Caenorhabditis elegans: one gene and its partners. The protein of the gene in region 1 interacts with the protein of each later gene in a pairwise test. Each region holds a gene or a part of one and is shown in the gene's direction. Other genes may lie near its edges. The genes, in order: ulp-4, dve-1, hmgs-1 and atfs-1.

The links.
Region 2: the proteins of ulp-4 (region 1) and dve-1 interact in a two-hybrid assay, tested with the Caenorhabditis elegans proteins (one study listed by BioGRID).
Region 3: the proteins of ulp-4 (region 1) and hmgs-1 interact in a two-hybrid assay, tested with the Caenorhabditis elegans proteins (one study listed by BioGRID).
Region 4: the proteins of ulp-4 (region 1) and atfs-1 interact in a two-hybrid assay, tested with the Caenorhabditis elegans proteins (one study listed by BioGRID).

Annotation. Positions count from the first base shown.
Region 1 is NC_003280.10:8,127,326-8,135,838, forward strand, and holds ulp-4 (Ubiquitin-like protease 4), read left to right. Parts: upstream 1-2,634; 5' UTR 2,635-2,683; coding exon 2,684-2,831; intron 2,832-2,880; coding exon 2,881-3,062; intron 3,063-3,226; coding exon 3,227-3,328; intron 3,329-3,369; exon of another isoform or gene 3,370-3,656; intron 3,657-4,964; coding exon 4,965-5,513; intron 5,514-5,561; coding exon 5,562-5,729; 3' UTR 5,730-7,419; downstream 7,420-8,513. Other genes in the region: ctns-1 (Cystinosin homolog), read right to left, coding at 7,554-7,679, 7,921-8,151. UniProt on the Caenorhabditis elegans protein: Protease required for deconjugation of smo-1 conjugates from target proteins which is necessary for cell cycle progression. Required for respiration and the maintenance of normal mitochondrial homeostasis.
Region 2 is NC_003284.9:426,926-436,180, reverse strand, and holds dve-1 (Homeobox protein dve-1), read left to right. Parts: upstream 1-2,381; 5' UTR 2,382-2,387; coding exon 2,388-2,568; intron 2,569-2,680; exon of another isoform or gene 2,681-3,209; coding exon 3,210-3,336; exon of another isoform or gene 3,337-4,030; coding exon 4,031-4,145; intron 4,146-4,197; coding exon 4,198-4,307; intron 4,308-6,675; coding exon 6,676-6,838; intron 6,839-6,888; coding exon 6,889-7,188; intron 7,189-7,493; coding exon 7,494-7,641; intron 7,642-8,181; coding exon 8,182-8,360; intron 8,361-8,410; coding exon 8,411-8,494; 3' UTR 8,495-9,131; downstream 9,132-9,255.
Region 3 is NC_003283.11:5,681,361-5,686,804, reverse strand, and holds hmgs-1 (Hydroxymethylglutaryl-CoA synthase), read left to right. Parts: upstream 1-2,215; 5' UTR 2,216-2,217; coding exon 2,218-2,322; intron 2,323-2,366; coding exon 2,367-2,495; intron 2,496-2,545; coding exon 2,546-2,698; intron 2,699-2,744; coding exon 2,745-2,970; intron 2,971-3,016; coding exon 3,017-3,251; intron 3,252-3,298; coding exon 3,299-3,487; intron 3,488-3,541; coding exon 3,542-3,753; intron 3,754-3,802; coding exon 3,803-3,942; 3' UTR 3,943-4,084; downstream 4,085-5,444. Other genes in the region: F25B4.7 (ADP/ATP translocase), read left to right, coding at 1-167, 217-323, 391-464, 513-759, 807-926; F25B4.4 (Elongator complex protein 6), read right to left, coding at 1,110-1,214, 1,265-1,525, 1,582-1,702, 1,748-1,917; prp-39 (Pre-mRNA-processing factor 39), read left to right, coding at 4,175-4,236, 4,520-4,597, 5,130-5,325, 5,378-5,444. UniProt on the Caenorhabditis elegans protein: This enzyme condenses acetyl-CoA with acetoacetyl-CoA to form HMG-CoA, which is the substrate for HMG-CoA reductase.
Region 4 is NC_003283.11:14,191,730-14,198,904, forward strand, and holds atfs-1 (Stress activated transcription factor atfs-1), read left to right. Parts: upstream 1-2,716; 5' UTR 2,717-2,753; coding exon 2,754-2,849; intron 2,850-2,903; coding exon 2,904-2,974; intron 2,975-3,023; coding exon 3,024-3,399; intron 3,400-4,485; coding exon 4,486-4,557; intron 4,558-4,603; coding exon of another isoform or gene 4,604-4,609; coding exon 4,610-4,690; intron 4,691-4,823; coding exon 4,824-5,476; intron 5,477-5,574; coding exon 5,575-5,692; 3' UTR 5,693-5,963; downstream 5,964-7,175. Other genes in the region: ints-2 (INTegrator complex Subunit homolog), read left to right, coding at 31-210. UniProt on the Caenorhabditis elegans protein: Acts as a transcription factor during mitochondrial stress by activating the mitochondrial unfolded protein response (mtUPR).

The DNA of each region.
Region 1 (8,513 bases):
AGTATAGCTCTTCGCAACATGTAGGATGATGCACTTTCGATATAGACACTAATTGTCGTCGTGTTGGTTATCACAATTCGCTCTTATCATTCATAAACCCATTCATTATCTTTGACTGCAACACACTCGTTACAGGTGTGTACAATTCGCAACATTTTTGGGTAGTGAGAGCACTGACTTGGCCGTGATAACAGAAGAGAAGTGTGTTATTTGTATGCGCACCACTCAACTCATCTTCTTTCCCCCTCGTTTCTCCCCCGAGCGGCAGTAGGTCCAATAAGATTGTTGCACTTTTGGAATTGGTCATCTCTTTTGTAGCTTGCATTTGTATTTCTCTGATCCCTCTATTCGGAAAAAAAGTATTGCTTAAATTATTTCTGAAGTTTGTAACTGTTTGTTTTCAGATTTAAATAGAAAATTTTATTTCACTAGATTTTGTAGTGCCTAAAGGCGCACGGATTTATTCAGATAGGTCTCGGCGCGCATAAAAGTTTATGGTATTTTTTCGAAATCTGAGTTTTGAAAACTGATTTTTAACTGTTTTTCACAGAGTTATTAAAAAGGAAACGACGAAATTTGCTGAAAACCACGTTATTTCATTGAAAATGCGAAGAAAAAACAAAACCTAATAAAATAAAATGAAAAACTACCATAAACTTTTTTGCGCACCGAGACCCATCTGAATAAACCTGTGCGCCTTTAAGAAGGCACTTCAAAATCTAGTGAAATTATGTTTGTCCCTGACTTCGATTAAAGATCTTAAAATAACCATATGGTATTTTAGACTAAAGTTGTTTACGTTAGCTGTATTTATTTATTTTAAGCTTTTTCAAAATGTTGAGTATAATCCGAGATGTGTGGGTGATCCGTTCTATCATTGATGTTTCCGGCTGAACAAATATAATTATAGCTCGAGCTTAATGTCCTTTTATACAAATCTAGTTGTTTCAACAATATTTAATTGCCGATAAAAATGTATGATACTCTGTTGTTCCCGGTTTCCTTTGTTGAGCAATCTTATGAAATAATATATTTCTGCTATGTGACATTTAATCATACGTTGAGCTTCGATGTGGCATCTTTAAAAGTGTAATGTGGTCGAGTTTGATCTAAAAAGTGTCACGAGACGTACCTAGACTAGTCAACGTCTGTCTGCAAAAACCTCTGTGATCAATCACATGCGTGTGAAATTTTGAGACTGAGAGAGAAGGTCGTTAACGTTTCAAGGTTCTTCTCGACACCGATAATACGCTTGTACTTCGAATCTATCTTTCGATTTCTAAATCCGTTTGCTTGAGTTTCTTCCTCAAAAACTTCCGTGTTTTATCGATATCGAATACATCTCTCCAGTAGTCACTCTCATATCATGCATGCCAGGATAAGATATGAATATCATCATATACTGAAAAGTCAGAAGACAGAGAGCCTTGATCCTTACATTCTCCTTCTCTTATTCGCTTGGATGTCCCTTTTCTTGGTGTCCGCCCATTCGGCCCATTCGTCCTCTCCTCAATCACCCCCGTCTGCCCTCGTTCTATCTCTCCGTCTCCACTACCCCCAGGCTGTTGAGCGGCGGCGGCGACGGTGAAGGCCCCCATCGGCCTGGGGAGGGAGAAAGAAGGAGGAGAGGACGGCAGTTGGAAAGAAAAAAGGTCTCTCCTTTTCCCTCCTCTCGCTGTCGCCCTGTCGCTCGATGCCACATGCAGTTGGTTTTACCGTTCGCTCTCTGTCTGGTTTTTTGTTGTATTGGCGGGCGCGATACAAACGGCGAGGCGCCAAAAACAGAATTTGAATTAGCACTGCTGTTTTAAAACGAACAAAGTTTCGACATTCTACGAAGTTACTTGGCATTTCGTCATATCTTACCAACCGTTTTTCTGTACGAATAGAACAACAATGAGATGTTCACGTGCTTCCTAAACATCAATATTTAAGAAGTGTTTCATTTGTTTCTAATAGCCAATCATGTGATTGCACCTGATCTGCGCTTTTAACATTTGTTTGTTCCAGATTGCAGAAGTTTCAGTTGTTTTCAAAGGATCCGTCGATCTAAATAGCAGAAGGATGATGCATGCGGCAGCATGCATGATCTTGTTGTTACTGGTCATCATACGCCCTCAACATCAACTTCAAACCAAGCCGTATTCATCGGGATATTCATCACTTTTATATAGAGTGTAAAGTATTCAATATGTATGTTCTATACTCAATAACCCTGAATTGCTTGTATTAATACTGTCATACTGATCGATTGACAGTTTTCTTATCTTGGTTGTCGAAGATTGAGATACATTTGTAAAATGGCCTTAGCAGTTCCCATCTTTCACTTTGTTTAGTGAACTTGCCCGTCCTTGCCGTACTTTTCATCCGAAATACCACCTGTTGGTTATCTATGACGCCACGCCATCCTCAATTCCGAAAATATAGGTCGATGCAATGTGAGTCTGGGACTCGGAGCCATTAGTTTTTTAGATTCTATCTCTTTTACATTCTTCGATGCACTGAAAGAAGATTGATCTTTTTTGATATTTCTCTCATTTCGTTTTCTGATTTCTCTCAAAAAGTTGTCATTTAAACTCTTAATCTTCTATCGTTTTCTATAATATTTTCTTTCTATTAATTTTATTTTTTCAGAATCACCCTCCTTATATGTATTGCACGTAGTACATGAACAATAACAGATATGGAAGTGTCAACGTCTTACTGTACGCCGGCTGTCAATTTCAAATATGGCAGTTTTCAAGATTCAGATGTCTCAATGCGAGAAGATGACCTATTCCGGATGGGGAGCTACAATTCTCAAGGGTACTACGCAGACGGAACTCATCTAGGTAATTTATCAAAAAATGTGATATCTTAAATTTATCAAAATCTTTTCAGATGGTTCTATCGGAGAAGAGGATGAAACGTCTTCAGGAAGTAACGATCAACACATGGATTTTGAGGAAGACGATTTCGATATGGAATCTTCAATGACAGAAGATTTGGTGGACGAAGATGAAGAAGAAGAAGACGAGGAAGATAATGACGAATGGACAAATCAGAAGCGGACTGATAATCAAGTGGGTTATACCTTCGGGAATACAAAAAAATGCGTATTGGTCAGAGCACTGAGCAATATTCGATGATTGGTGATAAATATATGTTATTATGGCTCCTCCTCTTATAGCCTTAAATGTCATCTGATTTTCTGAAAAGTTGAAAAACAAAACGATTCCTTTTATAGAATAGCGTTGCATATTACGCAGCTATGGAGATGCTTCGAATCCGTTTCCCATTCCAATCAATAGCCATTCGAATTTCGGATTTTTGCTGTCTCCAGGAGAAGGTATGTAATCTGCTCTTCACTATTTTTGGATTATACTTGTGTACAGCTACTCTCAAACATAAGAAGGCGATGACTATTTGCATACCCTTTTGTTGTTTTTGTGTAGGTCGTCTGCGTCTCTTACTATCTCCTATATTTCAACACTTGTCTAGACTTTCCACAAGATTTGGGTCCATTTTTATTAGACTGGGGGTTGTGAGAACAAGGTCTCTATCCTCGTATCTAGTTAATCGGTCTATTTTGAATAAATTTGCCGATTCAAAGAAAGGAAAAATCCGGAAGGCGAAAAAGCGCGAAGTGCACTTTAAATGCACTTTCTCAGTGAAATACACTCGCCCACCACACTGCCCAAACCTTTTTTATGCTGTGTCTCCCAGCGAATGTGTATGTTGCGGTTTTTGTTTGCCTTGCTGGCGGAGAAACAGAGGAACGAACTTGTTTGCGAACTTCAAAAATCCTGAATTAGTTTGAGAATTTTATCCGATAAAAACAATAATATTAGAAACTTGAAAACAAATTAAGTAATTAGTATTTTGGATTTCAGATTTATCTAGTTTTCAAATTCACCAACTATTCTTTTGTTTGTTATCGGTGAAGACACAGTTCCCATTTTCAAGATAACAAATATCCCGCGAGAAGTTGTTTGTTGTGCAAAACAAAAATTCATTGAGTTTTGACGAGAAAATTAGTGAAGCGGTGGTGGTTTTCTGTCAACATCCATTCTCACTTCATGGTCTCAACTCCCCATCTAGAGCGGTCTGCTTCTAGTACTCAAGGGTTATGCGCACTCTCTTTTTGTCTCTAACTATGACTACTAGCAGATCTTATGGCAGCGCGCCAAAAAGGCGAGAGTTCGTGTAAAAATAGGAGGGTGTTCGGTGCCAGGTACGTGAAGCGCGGGCTCAGCCGCGGGGCTCCGGGCGCGCAGAGAAACGAGACAACAACTGAATTCGATGTGTGCGAGGAATTTGTGTGTTGAGCGAACTGAGATGTTGGCACAGCGCCAGCCAATGAAAAGAAGTTGTCGTGGAGTGGGGGAATAATCTAATGCTACCTTCGCATCATAACATGTAAACAAAGACCGTTCGAGAACAATTCGATTAATTTCATCCAGATGACAAGGGTCGCCGTCTAAATTCCTTTTCCGATTTTCGTAGACCTCCGATGTCATCGTCTTCTTTTTGTGTGGGCAGCTGCGACAGTTCAGGGTCATCTGGTAGTAATAAACTGGTTTTTTTTTCGAATCGCGCGCGCAAATTTTTCGCGCACGCACCTCCCATACTCTTGAAGAAATTCAGATGATTGAAGGATATCGTAAAATAATGAGTAACAAGCAATGTAATTTAGTGTTGTGGATTATGGGGGAAGACCGAACGGCGTAACTCGTAGATGAGCAGCAGCAACTGCTGATCTTTGATCGGCTATTCGAACAAAGGAACATATTGTTACAACAGAAAAATGCGCGAAGAGGTCAGGAGAATATGTTATATTAAATTGACGAGTCGAATGATTCATTATTTAAAGTTCAAGTTTATATACATTCTGATGTAGTACTGTAGTACAATCTCAAAAAAAAGTCTGGAGAAACCATTTAAAATATTTTTGATTCACAAAATTCATTAGTATATTTTTTCAGGATCTTCTCAACGATACGATGATCGACTTCTATTTGAATCACATTGTTGAACACGTACTACCAGACAGCAATGGTTCAAATGTCACTGTTCTTCCATCGATATTTTGGCATAATCTTTCTTTACGGCAGCACGCCTTTGATTCTGAAGACGAGAAGATGATGAGTGATGAGCAAAAGATGGATCTCAAATTCGGCGATTTGCATGATTTCGTTGCTGATTTCGATCTCCAAGATTTTGATTACATTGTGGTTCCTGTAAACGAGTGGGAGCATTGGTCATTGGCAGTCATATGTCATCCGTTCACTGCTCAAGCTCGCACGGTTATCTTTGATTCGCAGCTCACTGCGGATCTTAACAACCTACAGAACATGGCTACATTAATCGAATCATTCATGAAGTATTCATACGAGAAACGTACCGGAAATGCTATGCCTTTTCCATTGCCGTGCATTTTACCACAAAGAATGCCTCAACAAACCAACAATTTCGACTGTGGTATTTTCATTGCAGAGTTTGCTAGACGTTTCTTGCTGAGCCCGCCAAAAGATGTAAGTTCATTCTTTTTGACTGATCGTTATAAAAAATATTATGTTTAGCTCGACAACTTCGACTTTGCACGAGAATATCCAGATTTCTCAACGGCCACGAAGAGAACTGAAATGCAACGAGTTGTTCTATCACTATCCACGAACAGAGCTCGTTGGCGTCCGCTTGTCGAATTGCTCAATGGCTATAGCACTGCCGCACCTCATCGTGCACTTTAAGCATATCCTTCTGGAATGCATACTTTGTCTCATATGCCCCGGTTCTTTACCGTCCGTCTTCCATTTCTCATCCCTTCCTGCCGAATTCTCCCACTGAAAAGTCTTCCGAAGAACTGTTTCTCTGATGTCTGAAGGCTTTCGTGACAAGGGAACCTTTTGTTATATTAACCCATTTTCACTCAAAAAACCACCAAAAATTTTCAAAAAATATCTCTCCATTTCATTGTTGACCCTTGTTACTCTGTTTTCTTCTCCTTATTTCTGTTGTTAACCACATTCACTTTTTTCTCAGCTGATATCCGTTCATCATTGTTCATCGTTGAACTATTTATTCGGCGTTTCAGTTTCCCCGTTCCCGCCCTTCACCGACTTCTAGACACAAAACAGGTGTTCCGACAATTTGCGAGTTTATGTTTCTTCGTTCCTTTACGATTCCATTCTTTCCGACTGCGCTTATATATCTGTAAGTATTCCATCGTTGTGATCAGTTTTTAACTTTTCTCAACAATAATCGGTTTACCTATAGTATCACGTCACCTCCATTTCTTCCCTTAACACCTCCATTTTCATTGAATTCAAATTCATATCCCAGCTTTTTCTTCACCTCTTCCCACTTTACTGTTGCCTGCCTTAATCCCCTTCTATCCACCATTTAGACACTTTCCTTCAACATGGAAGATTGGGTTTTCCGTGCCCAAAACTCTACGTTCACATGGGTTTCGTTGTTTCTTTGTTCCAGCTTGTAGTGTGAGAGATTTGTGTTTCCTTCAAAAAAATGTCTTTAAGGTGAGTGTGGAGAATGATGATGATTTTTTATGAATTTTAAAAAGCTGAAAAGTATTAATTAGTGAAGATAACTGTTTTTATGCCTGGTAATTCATAAGATGACATTGTCTGATCCCTCTTACTTTTCAAATTTTTTCCATACCCTTGCAATCTGTACATTTTTTGTTGGGTATCTAGCATTCAAATACTTGAAGATAATTTATGTCACGAAATTCCATCACAGCGTTGCTCTCTAATGACGAATCTTGTTTCTGTTTTAGTAGTTATTGGAGATCAGCGCTTTCTTTTCAAAAGTCGTTGACAAAATGTCCTTTCAAATCTTGAATGTTGGTGCATTTCATTGTTATTGTAAAAAATATCAAGTCTCCCGCTCTCTTTCTCGTTCGAATCTTATGTTTTTCTTTCGTTTTGAGCCAGCTACCATCTCCCTGTGCTTTCACCCTCTTGCTACACTTCTTTAATAGTTTTGACTGTCGGATCCATGACACAAATTCCAAAATATATTTGGTAATCGAATATTGAAAAGAAATCAAGAACGACATTTCTCAAAAATTCATTTTCAATCTTCAATTGTCATTTAAAATTTTGGTGTCCGCTGGTTTTCACATCTTGTTATATTTATGATTTCATTTTCTTTTTTTGTTTTTTTTACTAGCGCCTCGGTTGATTGGATGATATGGGTCGTATCGTTTTTCTACATTTTTGATTTGATAATATTATTTTTGTCAAACTTCCATGTTATTCGTTCCTACCGTTTTTTTCTCCCGTTTTCCCAATTTTTATGTGGTTCTCTTTCTTTAGATTCATAGGGTCTGTCCTCATATTGTTCCAAAAAAGCTCTTCTAAAAATCGTTCCATGTTGTAAAAGATCTTGAGCAAAGGCAATAAACTGTTGATTAAAAGCTTAAAAATCTTATTTCTCACTGAACAAGTTTATCACCGTAGAATCAATATTATTCAAATCACGATATGCAATAGAAATTTTGAATATGTACAACAAAAGGCACCGAGGAGGGCAAAGAATTTGAATATTATGATCTAGTCATGTACAATAATAGGTTCCGTTGACTCCATCGATTCACTGTCGCCGGCATATTGTTCAGCATCACGAGCAATATTGTCTGGATTGGGATTGTCAACACCATGATATTCATTGTGTGGAACCTTCAAAAAGTTATATTATTTAAAATATCAGAATTCAATTAATTTTTAAAGATTTAGTAATCTAACATAAAGTTGTTGGTAAGTAATTATTTTTTGAATTAAAACATATAGAAACATTCAAGGAACCTGATCATAACTATTAAAAACGACTCGTTTCCTGATTTTTCTTTGGTTCCTGAAATTTTTTGTTCTATTCATAATTTTTTAAAATAATTAAAGGGATAAAAACTAATTGACTCACTTCTGCATTTGGATACAATACATAATGTTGAACCATGAAAATGATGTCAAAGAATATTGAGACAAATCCCAGTCCGAATTTGACGGGATTCGCATAAAATGCAGACCAATCGTTCACATTAACTGCTTGAAGAATCATTTGAAGAATATCGAGAGTTCCTCCTGTGAAATCTAGCATGATGTTTCCGATTGACCATCCAACTGTACTTTTTCGGGTATAGTTGAAGTAAGCCTGAAATTATTTACAATTTATTTTAGATCACTTGTATTTTTTAAAATTAATTTTCAATAGTTAAATATTTTTTGATAATTTCTCTACGATTGGATAAAAATATTTTCGATTGAATAAAATTATAATTTAAATTAACATGTTTTCGATAAAACATCATTTTCCCAGCTTTTTTTCGTGAATTTTTGATGACGATACAGTACTTTTTAAGGCGCACAACTTTTTGAGTTAAACAAAATCTGTCGTATCGAGACCGGATACCGTAGTTTTGGCGCAAAATTTCGCGGTCAAGTTTTGAAAACTTTTTTGGAAAAACTAGTAATTTAAAAATAATAAAAAATAATTTCAGGCTAGAATACTGTTTA
Region 2 (9,255 bases), on another chromosome or scaffold:
TTTTTAATAATTTCCGGTCAAAGTTTTGGCAAATTGCCAACATTTTTGAATAATTTGAGCTTTTGAAAAAAGTCCAAAGCAATGTCGCATGGATCCACCCCTACGATGTTTTAACACAAACAATTAAAACAAAATAACAGTAAAAAAACGTAGAAAAAATGTTTTTGTTTGGTCGACTTCCAAAATTATGAGTGGCAAAAACAGAGTAATTGCCACTTTTTGATTGTAAATAGAAAAAATTCAAAAAAAATTTTTGAAAGTTTTATTATGATATTCCGTCATTTTGGGACAACCACTCCACCTTTAGGATTTTCTTACTCAATTTTTGAATGTCCTACAGTTTTTGTATGTAAGAATCATATAATAAAACAAATTTGAAGAATCATACTGAAATCAGAATATTTATAATTCCTCTTTCAAAAATACTGAATATCATATAACAAGGGGCAAGCACCCACCATAACCCATCACATTATTCCATTCCCTACCATCTCTTTCTCCATTCGGTCCGGTCCATTGAGTTGGTAAACATATAATGTATATCGTATGATAAGGCCGCTGAATTTCAATTGACTTCCCCCCCCCCCCCCTCCTCTTTAATCTTCTCTTTTGCGTTACCGTACGATACGTAATATATGTAAAACTGAGATTTTTTGCATTGCCCCTTGAAGTCTAGAACTTCTCGACTTTCAAATTTGTAAGAAGGGTCTCATTTACCCTATACTTCTACTTCATGCTTCTTGTATAATCCCATCCGCGGGGTTGGTGTCTTCAAGCAACCGGGATTACTCTTTCCGGCTTATTCGAACCCCCTCTCCTTGCTTCAGTATTGCTCCAGATTGCAATTGTTTCAATTAGCCGCTACGATGACACCTAAACTAAATCCTCTAGGCTTAGGGGCACAAACATTCGTTTGTTAGAACTGATTATGTGGAGATGGAGCAAGATAATACAAGTGTAGAATACAATGATTAATCAATGAGTCTCACAGAGTTTTGCAAAAATTCTGAAAAATTAGATATTTCCAAAACCACGTTTTATACCAATTGTTGATTTTTGACTCATAGTAATTTTAACAATAAACCTTGTTAGATAAATTTCTAGAAACGGATTTGAGTTTTGGTGTGGCGAAGTATCAAAAGTGTACACATTATCTTATCGACAATAATCCCAAACCCACTCGGAGCTCCTAAGTAAATAGTGACTTGCATTCCAACCACTGTCTTATCTATAACTGGCAGACCCCCTCCTCTCCCGAAACGCGCATCCTTAAAATTTCTATAAGTAACTTAACCTTTATCTCTGCTGACACATCGGGACAATTCTAATTCTGATGCGCCCCTTATGCGATGTGTAGCGTCGTTATTTTCGATTTGACGGTGAGGAAAAGAGAAAGGCGGGGTTATAGGGTAGAAGAGTGAAGAGAGAGAGAAAATCTTGAACAAGTGGATTGTCTTTGTTCGATTCTTCTTTTTTCCTCCCTCAACGACGAAGACTAAGACGATGCCATACCACAACGACCCGAGGCTTTTCTCGAACTAGTAGTACATGATCGTTTCTACAGATGGGGGAGGGTTGGCAACCAGCCCCATCTTTCTTTTTTCCACTGTTTTCTACCTCACCTACCTATTTCTCCTCATCTTCCGCATTCTCTGCCTCTTTTAGACTCTTCCATCCGGTTCCTACATTATGCCATCTCGATCCCGACCTCCCCCCCCCTCAACCCCTCCTTACTACTTTCGCTCCATTCGTCGTCTTCAATCTCTTCTTGGCGACGACGTGGTCGCCTTCTTTCAGATTTTCCATATCAAATCTTGTTTTCGTTTTCGTTTCCATCCATTCTCATCTTCAACTTGTCTTCAGTAGCGAGTAAGAAGTAAGAAGAATGAGTACATGTCGCCTGATTCGTTGTTTTTATTTGTGTCTTAAGATTTCTAACCCCCTCTTGGACAGACTGCAAATCTGTTATCCAAACTTGGTGTCTCCCGTTCTTTTTTCATTAATCGCCTTAACAAATCCCACTATCTCCCTTTCTTCCATTTTTGTTGCTCTCCGCTCTATTCCATCGCAATTACGGTTGAATAGGTGCGCGCTTTCTTTTCCACCTTATTTGCTCCAACTAGCCACAACTACCATATCTCTTTTGCTCTTGCTCTCTCTCTCTCTCTTACTCGCTCTTTTTCTATCTATCTTCCCCGCATCATAGAAAGCCCCGCCTCCTCCATATCTATGAAAAGTGGGCGGGAAGTCCGCACACCAATCGGAGCGCAGAGCTAAATCTATCCAACTATCTTCTGGCTCTTCTTTCGATTCTTCTGCTATTAGTTTATCTCGATTTCTCATTTTTATTTTAAAAATTTCAAATATAAAGTTTCATTCAGCTAGATATGTTCCCAATGAGGGTAATCGTGGAAACAGTTCGCTCTCAACATTGCTTGACATGCTCAAACGAAGGACACATGATCACAGACACTTATGCAATTGTCGCAGGGACCACTACATTAAATCAACTCGTCGAAACTGTACTAGCAGCTCTTGGACATTCGAGCATGTCGACAAGTGCTCGAGGTTAGTTGAGAAAACATTTTGAAAATTGCCATAGACCTCGTGACTAGCTAAACTATTTTGGTATTAGTAGTACACATTCCTTATCTTCTTTTCTTTCATTTTTGTTCCTTTTTTTCATTCGCCAAAAACGGATAACAGATCTATCTTGTGATTGACAGATTTACCCTACTCTAGGCGAGTAAGTAATTGAGTATTGAGTGGGATCTCCTTTTCTTGACAACTACTTTCAGTTTCAATTCAATCTCATTGAAGCATAACGTGGTTGCGCAACTTCGCTATGCTGTAAGAAGATATACATCTTCCTCCTACCCCGAGATCACCCACTTTTTTTTGGCTAAGACGACCCTACCCACTCATGTGTTTTGTTCTGCGCCTCTTGCCAGATCAACGGTATTTCTGCGATTTCAGCGCCCTCCTCCCATTTTCTCACTTTCACGTTTTCTTCCACCTTAGTAGAAAGTGAAACAGACTGTCGAACCTGTTCTTTTCTCGGCGGCTTTGCCTCCTTGGTATCTACTTTCCCAAAGATTATGCAATCATGTGAAAGGGAAATCGGAAAGAAAACGAAGGGAATTGCATAGGGTTTTTTAAAAAAATATTTTGCATTTGTTGTCCGAAAATCGATAATTCAGAAATTTCAGGCCTCATACAAGTAAACAACTGGAAACCCTTGCCATTCGATCAAATTACTGAAAATTTAGATGACACTGTGGAAAACCTCTTCAAAGATATATCATCACATGTAGTGCTAAAAATATTGTCAAAACCGTAAGTGTTTCCTGAAGTATTCTTGTTTCACTCCGCACTATAACCTCATCTATCCCATCCAATCCCGCTCCAACCAGACGACTGTCGATCGGGAGGTTTGTGTGCTCCGGGGGGCTCATTCTGTAAAGGTGAGCAAAATCGCGCCTCACAACCCCTATACATCCTCTTTAGAACTACTCAAAGAAAATGGCAAACATAGGTATGTACAATGCGCGCCTCGCACACACACACATATATATAAACACATTCAGACATGTGTACAGGAGAGAAAAAGTGATGGAAGGAAAAAAGGGGGAAAACTCATTGAAATTGGCGGTGGCTGAAAAAAGATACATTTTGGGGCGCATTTCTAGTCATCAAAAGTCAAAGGAGCGGGAGGGTCCGGGGACCAACAAAATTATTTACCTAGATCCCCGTATGACTTATCCTATCTGTTTGCGGATTATTGTCGCTTCCTTCATTTCTTTATATCGTTCATATTCTATTGATATTTGGCATTTAGTTTGCTATCAAACATGGCACTCACAAATACCGCAAAAGCTTTAGCGCTTTGTCCTGCGACGCAATTTTTATGAGACCAATGAAAGCACAAACCATTCACGGACCGAATTCGATTTTTATAGCCCTATCCCTGGGCACACATATGCCTATACACACACACAATTTTATGACCATCATCATGATTTTCTTTCAGATCTACGGATTCAAATTCTGTGCAATGTATAAGTGAGGTGAAGAATAAACTCCTGAAAGCTGCAGTAAACAAAAATCCCAATGTTTTAACAAATGTGGATAATCAGCAGGTTAAGGTGGGTAGCTGCTATTTTCTCAATAATTCAATTTCAATTCTGATAATTGCAGGATGTCATCAACACAATCATTGCCGGAGATGAAACACTCTTGAATTCCGAACAAATTGGTGCAGTCAACGAATGGCTTGATACGCTGGAAACGAACGAGGATCGTAGAAGGTAAGATAGCGCCGCCCATGCAATGAGTTGCGAGCCAGTCAGCCAACCAGCCACCGTAATCCCGCTGTGCGTGTTGGATGTGAATAGAGGGGGGGGGGGGGCAGAGTTTGAGAGAAAAGACAGAGAGCAGTGACACGGGGGGTAGCGCCAAGTTAAGCCGCTATTCGGTGCTCGAGTTAAGCCCCCTCTCGGCTTGTTTGTAGAAATAGACTTTATGGATTGGTTAGGAATTTTGAGCTGCAGGCAGGATTGTGTATACATTGTGGTTGAAGGAAAAGTTATGAGAGAGCACCCATTTTGTTTATAAATTTTTGGGGAAATTTAGGAGATGGAATTTTGCTGTCTCTAGATATCAGGTAAAACCGATTCCTATCGGATATCATATAAACAATATACTTTTCCACGTCTGTGCATTCTTATTCACATCTGAAAAGAGAGGACTTAACTTAAATAGTTAGTTTCGTTTAATTTCCACCGCAAGGATTCATTGGAGCTCCCCCCCCCCCCCCGTCAGAATTTCAATTTCCTGAGGTTGTCTTCATCAAAAACCCGCCTTTTGTTTTCAAGTGTCGTAACAATCAGAATGGATAGGCGTCGGGGATTAACAAGCCGGCAGATTGTATCATTTGCTCTTTCTTTGGTGCCCATCATCACCATTCATCTTATTAGTGACAGCCCCCACACACAATGTGCGAAAACGATGATTGTTTGGGATTGGAAAAGAGTAGGGGATGGGTTCAATGGGAAGGGGAAGGCAAAGTGATGAAGATATACGTGAATGAAGTTAGAAACACTAGTTTATACCGAAGTATCTAAGAATTGCTTTGAAGACAAGTTTAATCTATAAAAAATTGTTTGAAACTGTAAAATCGTTATATAAAATTGATTTTTTTTACTTTATTACCCATTTGCGTAGCAGAAAACGTTTTTTTTTTTTTTTTTTTTTTTTTTTTTTTTTCTAAGCCTAAAAATAAAAAACTACACACGGTTTTATTTTAAAATGTTAAAATTTATTTTTTCAAAATGAGGTGAAATAATCCACAAGTACCAAAAATTTTCCTTGTTCTTAGTGCTAAAATAATAAAACACCGTACGCCTTCTATTATTTGCCAACTTAAAATGGTTGAGTTCAAAAATTTTTGAAAATCTAAAATTTTTAGGAGACGATTCACCAAATATGTGGCTTGTCAGAATTTAACAATTACCAAAACTCAAGTTTTATTTCGTAACTCAACTATAAATTCCACTAAGCCGGTTGACAGTACGGTTGATGCCCGGATAAGAGAGCAGTATTAGACTGAGATGAAGATAGCTAATTTCAAAAAAAAAACGAGACAAAAGACAAAACGATCAAATTCGGTCGTTCTCTAAGTGCCCTCCATCATGCCATTGTGTCTTTCTCAATTTCTCAAGAGAAGGAGGCTAAGAGATCAGGACTGGTTTTGGCCCCTTGTTGACCCGTGAAAACATCTCTGAAACTGCCACTGCCTGCTGATCTACATTCCCGAGACAACAAAGGGAAGAAGTCAAATTATAAGTGATGGAGACAGTTGTTTTCCACATATTCCTTTATTGAAACTCCTTCTTCCAACGAGAAGAAAAAAGGAAAAAGAAAAAGCTGAAATCAAGTTTTCCAGTCATCGAAGCACATCCAAATTTTCGAATTTCCAACTGTACAAATAATTGAGTTGTGTTGTGAGTAATCTTATTGTGACATACAGACACAAGAGAGGATACAAAACATGTACATATTGCTCTGAGGGAATGGGAACAGCAGAATAAAGGGCAAAATGGGAAAGGACGGCGGTGACGCATTCTGTAAAGAGTAATAAAGAATAGAAAAAGGGAGATTGAATGCGTTGTGTGCATACAGTGATATATCCAAACTGTTACCCGGGGGGGGGGGGGGGGCGCAAAAACAAGAAGAAGGGGACCCAGTATAACTATCAGAATGGAGTCGTGATTGGAGAAAAAGTGTCAGTAAAAAATGATTAAAAACTATCCTTACAAAAAACTTGTATACGAGTAATTACACCGTATTTCCTCTATTTGTATTGTACCACATTGTTCAACTTTAACTGTTTATATCTCAGTTATCGTTTGTGCTATTCGAAGTTGTTAACTAACAAAATATTTTTTCAGTTATTTTTCTATAGATTCGTAGTTAAAAATATATGTATATCTTTAAAGTGTATTTATACTCTTTAAAATGAATTAAGATATAACGTTTCAAAGTTAGGTAGTCGGGTGCAATACAAATAGAAGAAATACGCTACATGATTTTCTTTTCATTCCACTCTCAAGAAAGATAAACGCCTGCTTTCATATTACTTTCAGTACACATAATAATGTATGTATTTAATTTCAGCCCAACACAAGTACAAAGATTCAACACTCTTTACGAAATTCCACGTCTTGATAAATGGTTCAAATCCGATGCAAATCCATCTAAACAAAAAATGAACAATTACTTAAGCCAGCTCAATCAGAGTCCGTTCAGAAAGAACAATTCCAAGATCAGCTATCAACAGGTGAATTTAATGCGCCTACATATTACTCCATTAATCAAATGAATTTCCAGATTTGCAATTGGTTCACACAAAAACGCTCGAGTTCCCGTACCTTAGCTCCAGTAGACCTAGTGCAGGTCTCGTCAGCTCAGACAGCGGCGCAGCTGCTCCCGGGATTCCAACTCAACTTGCTCCAGTCCCTGTTTGGAGAACAACGTCAAAAATTTGATTTTTACGACAAACTGGATGAAACCAAGATTGTCGGCGGCTCCGACTCGCCATCTCCAGCCGATGATGAGATTCATAGCAATTCAGATGAAACTATTCAAGATACTTTGTTTTCCATCAATATTAAACCAGAACCGGAAATTGTAAGTTACGTTTGACTGTTTGTGCCATAGTTAGGTTGATTAGCGTTGCTCGTGCTGAAAAGCTTTGAAAAATCACGCTAAAAACGGATTTTCGGCTATTTCGATTCTGATTCACATTAAAGATAACATCTCCCAAATTGCTAAATATTACCGATAAGGTTATAAAGACCTAACACTACGGCCGAAAATCTGAATTTATTCCAAACTGTCAGCGTCGGCTGAGCGCCAATTAAAAATATTTTTCGACACAATTATGGTCCACCTTTAAAAATTATTCATCCCAAAACAAGCAACATTTCCTACAGGATTCAATTGCATCCTCCCCGGATATGGCAAACTCAATGCGCGAATCATTGTCCTCGACCTCCCCAAAGCTTCTCAGCGGGCTCGACCTCGGAGCATTCAGCACCCACTCATCATCCACCAACTCCATGCAAAACGCCAACTCATCAGGTACAACAAAGAGCTTTAAAACAGACAGGCTAACGGAAAAGAGAGGGAGATGGGTTGAACCAAGAACTCATAAATTAGAAGCGAGCACACACACACAAACACACATAGACATACACAAAGTGCGCGAAGACACATAACAAAGGGAGAAATGTGGGGCGTCGAATTTCGCACAGACAACCATTACGATCACTGAGATCTGAGGAAAAAAAAATGAGGCTAGGTATTGTGTTTACAGAAATAAAACAGAAAATCAACTGCAAACTTGATTTTGAGAAATATTCTAGGGATTTTGTACTGGCTCAAACTTATCGAGAAGGTGGCCATGTTCATGATACTCAGTCTGAAAACCTATATTGGTTGCTATCTCTAAAACGCTCTTAGATTGCGTTTGCTATGCATATGAAAAATGACTGCATAAAAATTCTCTATCTTTTCGACAAGAAAACTTTAAGGTGGAATTTTACTTCTATTTTTCGATAAAATCACTGACGCGGAACGTTTGAAAAAATTCAACGATAAAGCAAATAATCTCCGTTTTAGTGTTTTCAGCGGCTCGCTCACGCCTGATGTTCGACCCACTCACCGAGCTACCCGTCCTCGAAAAATGGTTCGAAGAGAATCCTCACCCGACATGGATGCAAATCGATCAGTACACACAATGCTTGAACAACTGCGCTTATCGAGAGAATTATCCGCATATTAGTCAGCACAATGTGAAGGTAATATTCTATATTAATACTGATTACTAGTTATCGAATTCGAATTGCAGATCTGGTTCAAAAATCGACGTGCAAAATGCAAGCGATTGTTGAATGGAATGCAGGAAAAGCTTGAGCAGAAGGTTTTCGTATAAAATTAAAATTTCCAACTTTTTTCAAAATCTTATTATCTTTAATTTCGAAAGAACATTAAGTTTTTCACATCAATAGTTCCTTCTTTAACCGTCATACTGGTGTACCCCTTGAATTCCTGATCTTCAGTGCCCCACAATTTCTCTTCAACGAAGAGCAAAATCACTACTTCATTTTTCATTCCAGCTGTGATTTTTGTCTGTAAGCTACACCTAATCGCTAGCTGTATATCTCGACGCATCTTTCGTTCTGCAAAACTTCTAGTCGCTTCTTGTCTTGTTTAACCTTGATGGGAAATTAAGCCGGCTTTAATTTCCTTCTTTCTTTCAATCAACAATTTCCCATCGCTTTCTTTGTCTCTTTCAATGTTCCACAGATCACATAGTTTTAATGGTTTTTCAATGTTTCCCTTCTTACCGTCACACTACTTTCCAATATTATTCATCTTAATTTTATGTCTACCACTTCCAATATCAATCTTGCCCACCGTTTTCTCAATTTTTTTTGTCAAATTTAAACTTTTCTCTGCTTTTCAGTTGTGCTTCAGCCCTTTATATGCCAAAAACTTTTATTCAGAATTTTGACATACAACCACGTTTATTTCTTTTTATTTGAATGTTTTGAGAAATAAAGTTTTTTTTTTCAGAAAAAAAATTTTACAAAAAATGGTCAATTTTTTATTTAAAAAATTGGCACACAAAAATAAAAACAGACATGATTGTAGGAGAAAATTTTCAGACTTTTCAAGAAATTATAACTTTTA
Region 3 (5,444 bases), on another chromosome or scaffold:
CAGAGTGCCTCGAGAACAAGGATTCCTTTCATTTTGGCGAGGAAATTGGGTGAATATATTAAGATCGTGCAGTCAAGAATCTCTAGGATTATCTTTTAAAGAATTTTTCCGGAAATACAGTCTGGAAGGAGTTGATCCCAAAACACAACACTCCAGATGGTTAGTAGGTTGGTTTAATGAAAACGATGGCTAAGCATATTTAATTGTATTTTTCAGGAAATCTGGTAGCTGGAGGTGGATCAGGATGTGCTACTCTTGCCACCATCTATCCTCTTGATTTTATAAGAACGAGGTTGGCCATCGATTTGGGAAAGAGAAAATCGGTAAAAGATTCTTTTAAAAGTTTTTTTTTTTAATTAATTAAATTTTCTAACGATTCAATGTTTTCAGGATCGCGAATTCACGGGAATGTTCGATTGTGCTAAGAAAATAATTAAAAGTGACGGAGTTCCAGGCTTATACAAGTAACTGATTTTTTTTGTGTAACTGATTTCAAATTATTTATTTTTCAGAGGTCTGATTCCATCGCTTCAATACATGATTATCTATCGAGGAGCATATTATGGTCTGTTCGATACAACGGCTCCATATATGAATAGTGACGGAAAGATGACATTTACTGAAGCATTTCTTGTTGGACAAGTCGTCACTCTGATCGCTGCAATGACATCTTATCCACTGGATACTGTAAGAAGACGACTGATGATGGGTGCTGGAAAGAAGACGTTACCGTTCAATAACACAATATCCTGCATCAAAGTAAGATCATTTAATTGCTTCTCGGACAAAGATTTATTTATTTTCAGTACATTTACACGAAGGAAGGACCCAAGGCATTTTTCCATGGAGCCCTGGTGAACGCGATTCGTGGAACTGGTGCAGCATTGGTTCTGGCGATTTACAATGAACTTCAGAAGTACATGTGACAACCTTCCATAATATAGATAATCTTTAAAATTTCTAGTGCATTCTCTTATTTGTTCGAAAATCAGGCTCTTTTAGAAATACGTGTAAATTTGTATGTTGAAGCCTGTGCCCATTGTTTTCTGTTATGATAACGAAGAAAAGCTTTTTTTGAATCATTTTTTTTATTCAGTAACAAAACAAGATCACTGATCCACAGTTATATATGATCCATTGATTGTGCGTTCACCGGAAAGAAGAATTCCTTTCGTTGATGTTGGAGCAGATGGTGATTTGATAGTGAGCACCGCCTGAATTTCAACAATAACTAATGAACGACAATATTGCAGATTTCACGAACCTTTGCTGATGCATCTTTTCCAAAACCATGGCTTACTGGCGACATCTGGACAAATACGTGGCAGCGGGGTTTCAGAATATCCACAGCATTCGAATGGATAGAGAAAGAAGCGAGAAGAAGCGCATTTTCTTGTGATAACGTCTTTAAATGTGTGTAGATTTTGTGCACGAAAATGGTAGTTTCAACTGAAGTTGCTCCAAATTGCTCCAATATTGAAAGATCATCGAAGAGAATAACTGACGCAGAGGAATCAATTAATTTCTGAAAAATTTTGAGTTAAACAATTTTTATTCGAAAAAAGATATATGCTGAAATACCTTGTACAACTCGTCCATAATTTGTTCAGAGGTGATATCAAATAATTCGAATGGTTTCAAGAAATCGTAGAAACTAATTTGAGTGGGATTCCATCGAACTCCAGCCTTCGAACAAATCAGTCTATAACAATTAGTTTTACTTTCCATTTTATAAAGATTTACTCACTTGTAATTTGTTTCAGACAATTTGGTCGAAACAATAGCGACTTTTTGACTTGAAGTCGAAGCTGTAGAAAGGAAATGAAGAACAAATGGGAGTGACGACGCGTTATCCACTTCTTCACATACAATCAAGCCCTTAATTGACTCTTCTTGTCCTTTTAGAATTTTCAGCATTTTTTCTTTTTCTGAAAAATGTTTTTTTGTATGAAATCAAATGAAGAAAACGAAGTTTTGCAGAAAAATGAAAATGATACAATTTTAGTTTGTCCGAGAGGAGTACAAATGACTCGTAAATCGGTTTCCCCTCCCTTGGGTCTCGCAGGGAAGAGCCGTTGCCTCGACGACATTTACGGGCATTTTGATATTTCAAAACTGTTTTTTTGGCAAATTTGCATAATGAACACTTTTCGTCGATAAATCATCGTTTTTTGTGATTTTTTGCAATTCACATTTAAAAAAGAGTTTATTGCAGGCATGAGCTTGGGTCAATTGTCATATACACCAGTGACGGATGTTGGAATTGGAGCAATTGAGTTGTATTTTCCCCAGAACTTTGTCGATCAAAATGATTTAGAAAAGGTATTAATACCATTATTTCTTCAATATTGATTCCTAAATTGCAGTTTAACAATGTATCCAGCGGAAAATACACAATTGGACTGGGGCAACAGCAAATGGGATTCTGCTCGGACAACGAGGACATCGTATCCATCTCCCTTACAGTCACAAGGAAACTTATTGAAACTTACAAAGTAATATTCGCTATCAAAGTACTTAGTTTCCTCAGTTTCAGTGTGTTTAGATCTCGACTGATTCGATTGGCTGTTTGGTTGTAGGTACCGAAACAATGATCGACAAGAGCAAAAGTGTGAAGACAGCTTTAATGGACTTATTTCCTGGAAATTCGGATATTGAAGGAGTCGACATCAAAAATGCCTGCTTTGGAGGCGCACAAGTGAGTTTTTTGTCTCTCAAAATAGAATCTTCAATTATATTTTCAGGCACTGCTGCACGCTATCGATTGGGTCACAGTGAATCATCCGCTTGATAAGAAAAACGCAATTGTAGTAGTCGCGGATATTGCAATATATGAAGAAGGTCCAGCGAGATGTACAGGCGGTGCAGGAGCGATTGCTTTTCTTATTTGTCCAGATGCTTCTATTCCGATTGATCGGCAGTTTTCAGCGTGTCACATGAAAAACACGTGGGATTTCTTTAAGCCAATTAGTAAGCTATTAATTTCTCTATTTACTTTTAAAAAATTAAATTCCAGCGCCGATTCCGAGTGAATACCCCGTTGTCGATGGATCATTATCATTGAGCTCATATTTGGAAGCAGTCAGAATGACATACACATATTTCATATCAAAAGTTAATCGCCATACAACGGGTATCGACGGGCTGAACTCATTTGACGGAGTGTTTCTTCACTCACCGTTCACGAAAATGGTTCAAAAAGGCCTGGCTGTGATGAACTATACTGACTCGCAACTTCGTCACAAGCAATTGTAGGTTGATTAGTTTAGAAAAATTTTCAAATGTTTATTTTATTCAGAAATGGAAATGGTGTCGATCATAAACTCGATGAAAACGATCGCGCTGGACTTGCAAAAATGATCGAATTGTCTGCTCAAGTTTGGAAGGAAAAAACAGATCCATATCTTGTTTTCAACAGGCGAATCGGAAATATGTATACTCCATCACTCTTTGCTCAACTTTTAGCATACTTGGCAGCAGATGATTGGTATGATGAAGAATATACCGATTTTTAGAGCTAATTTTTAAAATTACTTTTCAGCGTCACCGGGGAGAAAAGCATTTTATTCTTCGCCTATGGAAGTGGTCTAGCGTCAGCAATTTTCCCAGGAAGAGTTAGGCAGACATCTAATCTTGATAAAATTCGTCAAGTCGCAATAAGGGCGATTAAAAGGCTCGATGACCGAATTCAGTTTACTCCAGAAGAGTTTACAGAAACATTACAAAAAAGAGAAGTTTTCCTACGATCAAAAGGTGAGTAATTCTAATAGTGATTGGTTTTTAATGTCATTTTGTTTTTCAGAGATTCCAAAATCTCCATCCGAAACTTCATTGTTTCCCAACACTTATTTCCTTGATAACATGGACAAGCTTTATCGCCGATCATATACTTTACACGAGGAACCAAACGGTGTTCAAAACGGGAACGGAATTCATCATTAAAAATGTATCTTTTGTTTTTTTTTTTTTAGTTTTTAATTTTATCACATCGTTTGCCATAGTCTACTTCTTTGTTACTGTTTTTTATTCGCTCATTAGAGTTGTATTTTCTTTTCTTTTTTTTAAATTAAAACGAGTTGTTTTTTTCTGATAATTGATTTTGTTGAACACGTGTACTATTGTCACGACAATATTTTCCATTTCTCGAACGGCTCAATTTAATTTCAAAGTTAAGATGGGAAGAGATCGGTCGTCAAGCTCGGACACAGACGACTACTACCGCTCCAGCAGCAGCAGGTATGCACCGGACTTTTGAACGAAACATGTTTCATTTGGAGGACCATGATGTGAAGCGGTTAAATATAAATTCCAGAACAGCTTGTGGGAAGCTTCGTGAGCCCCACGAAACCACTGCTCTGAGCATCTTCAAAAACTCACCGCAAGCTCGGTTCTGAAATTTCGCCGCTTAAAATTCATATCTCACCGTTCCTGAATTTTTTCACATGAAACATGCCTAGTAAAAAATCCTGATGGCACCATCGGCCCCTCAGAAGTAAACCATCCAAAATTAGAATTTCAGAAAAAGAGAAGATTCACACCGCCGTCGCGACGATCGGCATCGGGACTCGGATCGAGATCGAGATCGACGAAGGAGAAGGTACGATGTGTTCTTAGTTTTGGATTGCATGATGTACTCATGATGTCAACACTCACGGGTTCTTTTCCCTTTCTGGATTAGGACGTTTCCCACTCTAAAAAGGGTTAATTTCTGATGAAAAACAATGAAAAATCAGAAAAAAACAAAGAATTCTCGGCAACAAACATACACGTTGCATAAGCCCTCATTTTTACAGAAAAGGTTTGCGTTCATTTCCGCTCTTCGCCACTCTCCGAGTCTCAAATGAGAAAGTGATAATAATTGTGTTATTTTGTGTACATTTTATAAATAAAATAAACCGCCGCTTAGTACTTTTTATTTAAATCCGACTTTAGCGTTTAGCGTCAACTGATGGGAAGGAGCACACAAAAGCTGTGGATGAATACGGTTTTGAGCAACACGAAGAAGCTTAATAATAATAATCATGATAATATTTCTAATTTCGTACTATCAAAATTGTTTTCTATGTTTTTGCATGCACATTGAAGAAACTCGAAATAATTTACTCTACTTTAACTAACCAAACTTTCAGCCGTTCTCGTTCCAACTCGAATCGTCATAGAACAACAGGAGGATCTCAACGGAGTCGTAGTAGCCGACATGGATCAGATTACAAGGATACCTCGTTGATGACTCGACCTTCTGTGGCAAGCCATTTCGGTACTCCTCCAATTGATGTGGCTGATTTCGACAATTGGGTGAACATTCTTGCGAAAGTGGATCAGAGTGTACGGCATTCTTTTTGTGGCACGATTAACTTTATATTTTCACAATTTTCAGGATGATGTGGATTTTGCCCGCGAAAAGTATCGCTCTTTCCTTTCGAGATATCCAAATTGTTACGGAT
Region 4 (7,175 bases), on another chromosome or scaffold:
AATTTATTTTTATTAAAAAACCTTTTTCAGGAGTTTCCATCACTTGCTGATAGTATCAATCGTCTTCTGACTCGTGTCGCAACAGCTGCGAAAAATCGGCTTGCAGTGAGATGTGGAATGTTGGCTGGAGATCCACGACATGAAGAATATCAACTTATCGCGAAAATTTCCTCGTTTTTGGATAGGAATTCGGCACGTGAACGACTTTAAAAATTATGTTTATCTTTTTATTAAATTTTCAACTTTTATTATCGTCTCTATTGTTTTTATGTTTCTTTTATTTTAGTATTTATATTTAATTTTGTATTAACTCCTTATTTTCTTTCGAAGTTACACCTGCAAATGTACAAGATTCCCATTCACGTTTAACGGGTTCCTAATCTCGTTTCTTTCACTTTTGTCTTTATGAAATAAATTATCCCGATTCAAATCATTGATTTTTTGCTAGTTTTGCGCTTGCGTTAAGAGTCAACTTGTAGAAATGAGCTCATTGCAACCCTGGAAAAAAAAATTTACTTCTACAGGCCGCTCTACAGCAATTGAATTGTCAATACAATTAATTCTAAAACCGAAAAGATCTTACGTTATTAGGGTAATACAATATTCTGAGAATGTTATTAGGGTAATACAATAATCCTGAGAATGCGTATTGCGCATCATATTTGACGCGCAAAATATCTAGTAACGAAAACTACAGTAATTCTTTAAATGACTACTGTAGCGTTTATGTCGATTTACGGGCTCGATTTTTGAGAATGAATTAAAACCATTTATTTATCGATAGAATTTTTTAAAAAGTTTTAAATAAACGAGTAAAAATGGAATATCGATGTCTCTATTCGAAAATAAATTCATTTTATGCCGAATTCGAGCCCATAAATCGACACGAGAGCTATAGCTGTTATTGTTTCTTGAGTTATTATACTGAGTTATTGCTTCTTCTTCAATTTAATTGGTATCTTTTTTAAATTATCAAAAAATCTGAAAACTTGGAAAGCCTCAAGTTTACTCATAACTTTAATCCTGTTCAAATGGCAAAGTTCTTCAATCCAGATTACAAGAGTGACAAACAAACAATTTGCAATATCTCGAATGACACATTTGTCATAAACTTTACTGATGAATTTTTTAATTTCGAAAAAACAAGGTGATTGAAGGTTTATTTGTTTTCTTTCAGTGTTAATATATACATTTTATAAATATTTATGTCTTTCGGTTTTTTGTTGCTAGTTTTCCAATAAATTTTCACATTGAAAAACAATTGTAATAAATATTTATTAAAAATAATAAAAGGACAAAAAAGCAAAGTACCGTAACGGTCTAAAGGATTGTCAACGATTTTTAAAGGTGGGTCTTGACGCGCGAGTTTCAAAACGTCCATGCGCCTTTAAGGATACTGTAAAAGTATGCATGGAAGTTTATTTTTTTTATTGTTTCCGCATTTTTTTCTCAGTTTTCCCTTTGTTTGGGGGTTTTTTCTTTGTAAAATTTGTGTTTTGCTTGCAAAGTTATTTTTTGAAGAAAAAATGTCATGAAATTTTATCATATGAAACTATGTATTACTGAAATTAATTTATAGATCCTTGAATTTTGCAAAAATTTTGGTCGCAGAGAACAGTTCAAATATTTATTTATTATCTTTTCGAAAAGTGTAAAACGATTTTCATAAAATTCGAGCACAGAACACAAAATCGTCGCACACAAATTCGTTTGTCTTTGCTCTTTTTTAGAACCTCCAGCTTCTTCACCTTTGTGCAATCCATTGAAACCTCCTTCAGAACCTCTACGACCGCCCGTTAGACTCCTCCTCTCCATCACGTTCTCTGCCATTCTCCGCTTCTTGCCCAATGTTCCCGACTGTCTCTCCGTCTGCGTCTCTTCTCTATCTCTCCTCTGCGACAGACGCACTTTCTCTCTCTCACTCACTTGTTCACCTTATCAAAATCTTTTTTTTTGTGCGATGTGGTTGGTTCGACGGTCAATTGTGAATTGTCTATGGTGTAGAAATCGATTATTAAATCTTAATTACACTACTTTTTCGGTCCAATGGTGGTATAGAGCACTGCCAATGTGAGTCATGATGCAATTTGCATGATGGAAGCTTCTAGGCTTTTCTATGCAATTTTGAATTTTCTTTCGATTTTCATCAGTTTTTATAGATTTTTCTTGCAAAAATCAATGTTTAGAAATCCCCATAATGGTTCGCTGCAAAAAAAGGATTTTTGGTTCAAATACAGTGAAACTGCCAGAAACAACCTAATTTTATGACGAGACTTCTTGAAAAAATCCAACAATTTTTATGGCGAGTCAAAATTTCGAAAAAAAAAAACAAATTTTCGTTAAAATCTGAATTTTGTTGATTTTTTTAATGCCTTAAAACTTGTGTCTGAATCAAAGATTTAACGTGATACAAACACCCAAAACATTCGATAATAGTTATTTATACAAATTTATGGGATTTTTCAGTCGTTTCAGGACCCAAAAACCCACAAATTTAATTAATTTTTCTTTTGAAATATTTCAAAAATATCAGTTTCTTTTTAAATTCCATCGTTTAAAATATTTTAAAATATCTCCAATTTTAATAGAAACCGCCTCCTTTCGCCTTTTGTCATCTGATATATGAAATATGATATGCTTTACACATATATCCCTCATTCTGACCTCATACCACTTCCATATTTCTCAATATTCTAACCTATTTTTCCTTTTTCAGCCAAACTCTTCATTCCATCTGAAACAGTACCATCAAAATGTTTTCCCGTGTGGGACGTCTCACAACTTTTGGTGCCCAGGCTGTGTCAAATTGTCCGTTCCGCAGAGATAACATCTATCAGCAGCCGTTGAAGGTTTGCTTTTTGTTGCAGAAAAATATTATTTTTGACATGAAAAATGTTTTTCAGGTAACCGCACCGATCAATGACCAGCTGACCAGTTTTGCGCACAGCTTCTCCGATTCAGTGAGGCATAGAACGTGAGAATTGCGCGAAAAAATTCAAATCAAGAAAAATATAAGCTTACAGGACCAGCTTCGGAAATGATCCATTCCTCGGCGTACCCATGGACGACGATGAAGTCATCAAAGAGCTCGAGCTACTGGACCTCGACTCATGGCACACTAAGCCTCGGGCTCCGTGTCCTGCACCATCAGACGAGCTGGAACTCGATCAGTTCTGGGAGGGAAAAAACGTGACGGTTTGCGGCAGAGATCCTAGATTGGGAAAATCAACTGATTGTTTTGAGCTGGAAGCATGGCGACCGACCGACTCATGGCAGAATGGTAGCAGTGTTGGACATCCACATGGTCATCAGCAACAACAGCAGACATGTCAGCAGCCGCCCACGCATTCAAGTACAACAGAAACAATGCATGATTTCTCCAATTTTGGAGATAATATGGTACGGGAAAAATAGTTCTTAACCATTGTGCAGATTTATACAACAAAAACTAACCATTAATTTCGATTTGTGTGTTTCTAATCGAATCTTTTTCGCATTGCCGACTAAAAATCCCCCAAAAAGACCTTTCATAACGAGAGTTTTTAAAATTTTCGAAAAAAAATCAAATTTAGCTGAAATCTCCAATTTTGCCAACTTTAAGCCGCCTAAAATTAGTTTTTCTTTTTTTTTTGGTTGATTTATGTGCATTTAAAGCCGAAATCAACACAAAAAAAACACGAGAAACATTAAAAATAAGACAATAATCAAAGGAAAATTAAAATTAATTTCCGGCTGCTGGAAGTTAACAAAATTGGAGAATTAAAGGTGCAGTAAAGTCCAAAAATTTTTTATTTTTAAAAATTTTCTAAAATTTTTTAATAGTTTTTTTTTCAATTTTTCAAAAATCAAAAAAACGGCCGAATTAAATTTGAATTCCCGCTCAAATTAGTGACGTTATTTTTGATATTTTCGTGTTTTCTGGCTGAATTTACCGGTTTTTATTAAGTTTTTCTTTTATATTTGATTTGAAACAACGTTTTTCAATTTTTCAGACACTTTTTCGGTTATCAAGTTATCTTCACGGAAAAATGTTCGAAAAATTGGCAAACGGTGCTTTTTTTGAGATCAAATGTAAAAGAAAAAATTAAGAAAAACCGACGAATTTAGCCAGAAAACACGAAAATATAAAAAATGGCGACATTCATTTGCGCGGGAATTCAATTCGACCGTTTCTTTGATTTTTGAAAAATTGAAAAAATCTCAAAAAATTTAGAAATTTTTTTTGAATTTTTTTACAGTTATATTCGGTTATTAGGGTCTATTTTCTGTCATTTAAAGCAAAAAATTTCGACTCTACTCCACCTTTAAGCTAAAATTTGGTCATTTTAGCGAAAATTTTGAAAATTCTCGGTATGAAAATCCGGGTTTTCGACAGCATGCATTTTGATCCTAATAAAGCAAAAACCCTGAATTATAACATAAAAAATACAAAAAAATAACATCACACCACCCACTTTCCCGCATGCTAATCTGCTCTCTTTTCAGGGCTCCCCGCTCTTCCAATCACCATCAAAATCGGCGATCGATCAGCTAACGGGAACTTCCCGAATAGATGAGGTATCTTTTTCCCCTAATCCAAGAACTGATTCTATGATTGAAATAGTTTCAGTACGGAATGCCACCACAAGATCGAAAATTGTCAAAGTTCGAAATGGACATTGAGCAAGAATCGAAAGCTGTCGATTGGGAGGTATGACTTGGAAAATAATTTCTTGCTAATATTACACTTAACACTTTTTCGTTTTTTCTTGGAGTGTTCAAAATATTAGTGACCTTTAAAAATTAATTTTAAATGAAAATCATTAATAATTTAAATTTTTTAGGCATGGAATCACTACTTGGAGAGCGACGACGACGTTTTTAAGCGTCCAGAAGCATTTTTCAAGGAAGAACCCATGATAATGACGTCATCCGATTCGTTGATGACTTCGTCAACTTCATCTCCAGATTCTGGAATAAGCCTCTATGATCCGATGATTCCACCACCATCATCTCACTTTCCCAGCTTCAACCTGAGCTCTTCATCATCAGCGTCGAATCTTTTGAGACTGTCAACTCCATCAGCTCCAATGCAGCAAGAACATCGAGCACCTGTCAGAATGCACCATGATGTTGATCTTTTCTCTTCTGGACCTCTTCTTTGTGTTCCGAAACAAGAAGACGTTTTCGACGACTTTATCCAGCAGAGAGATGATGACGATGAAGACTATATTCCAGCATCTGAAGCCAGAAGAACAAGTTCACGTCTCAATCGGAAATCTGCTACGCCAACTTATCTTCGGCGTCGTGATTCTGAACGTTCGTGGACGCCAGCTTCCGATGACTATTTTCCAGAAGAACATCAGAAGTTTAAGAAACGTGGAGTTGTTCTGAAGCCTTCAGTCGACGAGGAAACCGATCGAAGACGAATGTTGAATAGAATAGCAGCAGTTCGGTATAGAGAGAAGAAACGAGCCGAGAAGAAGGGAAGAAAAATGTAAGAATATTTATTTTAAACTTGCAATCTTGAAAAATATAATTTTAAATTTTAAAAATTTAAAGCAGATAGATATCTAAAATTTAATATTTTTGCAGGGAGTTCCAAGAAGTAGCTGATCGTAATCGAATTCTTCTTCAAAAAGAACGTCAACTAAAGCGTGAGATCAACTCGATGAAAAAGGAGCTTCGTAAAATGGGCGCCATTATTCAATAATCAGAATTCGAAACAATTGTTCTTTTTTTCTGTTCTTTTCAGTTTTGCTAACTTTTTTTTTGGTTACATAGTTTTTCTCCCTTTGTTCACCCAACTGTAGATCATTTTTCATAGAACCTTTCCCCCATCTTTTTTTTCTCTCAAAAACTGCCCATTTCTTGTATTTTTGTTACGGGTATTCGATCCCAAATTTCCCATCCAATTTCAACTCCTCAAATCTAAACTGCTCACATCTCAATCAGAAAATCAACTCAAAATGAATGATAATTTTTTTAAAAATTGTTTCACAAATGTCAAAACATTTCAATGATTTTTCTTGTGTTCGTGACGCAGTTGTGTAACATTTTTACACAAACATCACTGCTGCACGATGTAATATCATCGCCATGAGACGGTAAACTTTTAAGAAAAATGTGGTTTGATATCAAGGTTGAACATTGTTCCTGTGTCGAATTACGCAGCTCGTGTACTCCCCGAGGAAAAGCTTTTACAGTTTTTTGCTAGAAATGCAGAATTTTGTTCTATTTTTGCGAATTCTTATTTTGAATTTACCACTCAGATAAACGTTTTCGCTTCTATTTAGAAGAAAAAAGCAGATATATTTAGAAATGGCGCTAGCTCCTAACACGACATAATTAGAAATGCTTTTTCATCTAAATAGCAGAGCTTTTTATAACTAAATAGGTCTACTTCTTCTAATTAGAAGTACCTTTTTGTTCTAAATAGGTCTACTCTTTTCTAAATATAAGCGCATTTTTCTTCTAAATATGTCTACTTCTTCTAATTAGAAATACCTTCTTCTTCTAAATAGTTCTACTCTTTTCTAAATATAAGTGCGTTTTGCTTCTATTTAGACTCGGAATTTTTAAAAGTGAATTTTTGGAAAATGTGATTTTGGATTCCGGAAAAAAAAAAGATTTTCTATTCTCGTTCAGCTCCCCTGCCGACCCTGTTCGTTCACTTTTTCCACAGGTAGTACCCTGTGGAATCTAGACACCTCTTCTAAGCCTGCTACCGTTCTCGGAGAAATTTTCTTGCCACCACCCGGAGTTGAACCCTTGACCTTCTGCTTCACGATCTGAAACGTTACCTGTTTAGCCAACCTTGCGCGTGTGAGAACTAGTTGCGACGCTAATTAAGTAGTTCATCGACTTTTTTGCATTTATTATTCCAGACCAAACGTTTTAGAGGAAATAATCTTTGGATTCCACTGAAGTTTATTATCAAGAAGATTTGAAGTATTGATGAAGCTTGTGCCGACCATTCTCGAAAAGTATGATTGGTCACTATATACGTTATGCTCGTCTGATTTATCACTTCGCCCAAAGCGATGATTCTAATAGTTTATGAAAAAGTGGAAAAGAGGAGCATTTAATCTCCTATTTGAGAGAATTCTACTGTTCGTTCTGAAGTTTCGAACCCTGTTCCCCCGACTCTCGCCGTCGTCGCTCTCAAAGTATACATAATGTCATGAAGACGTGTC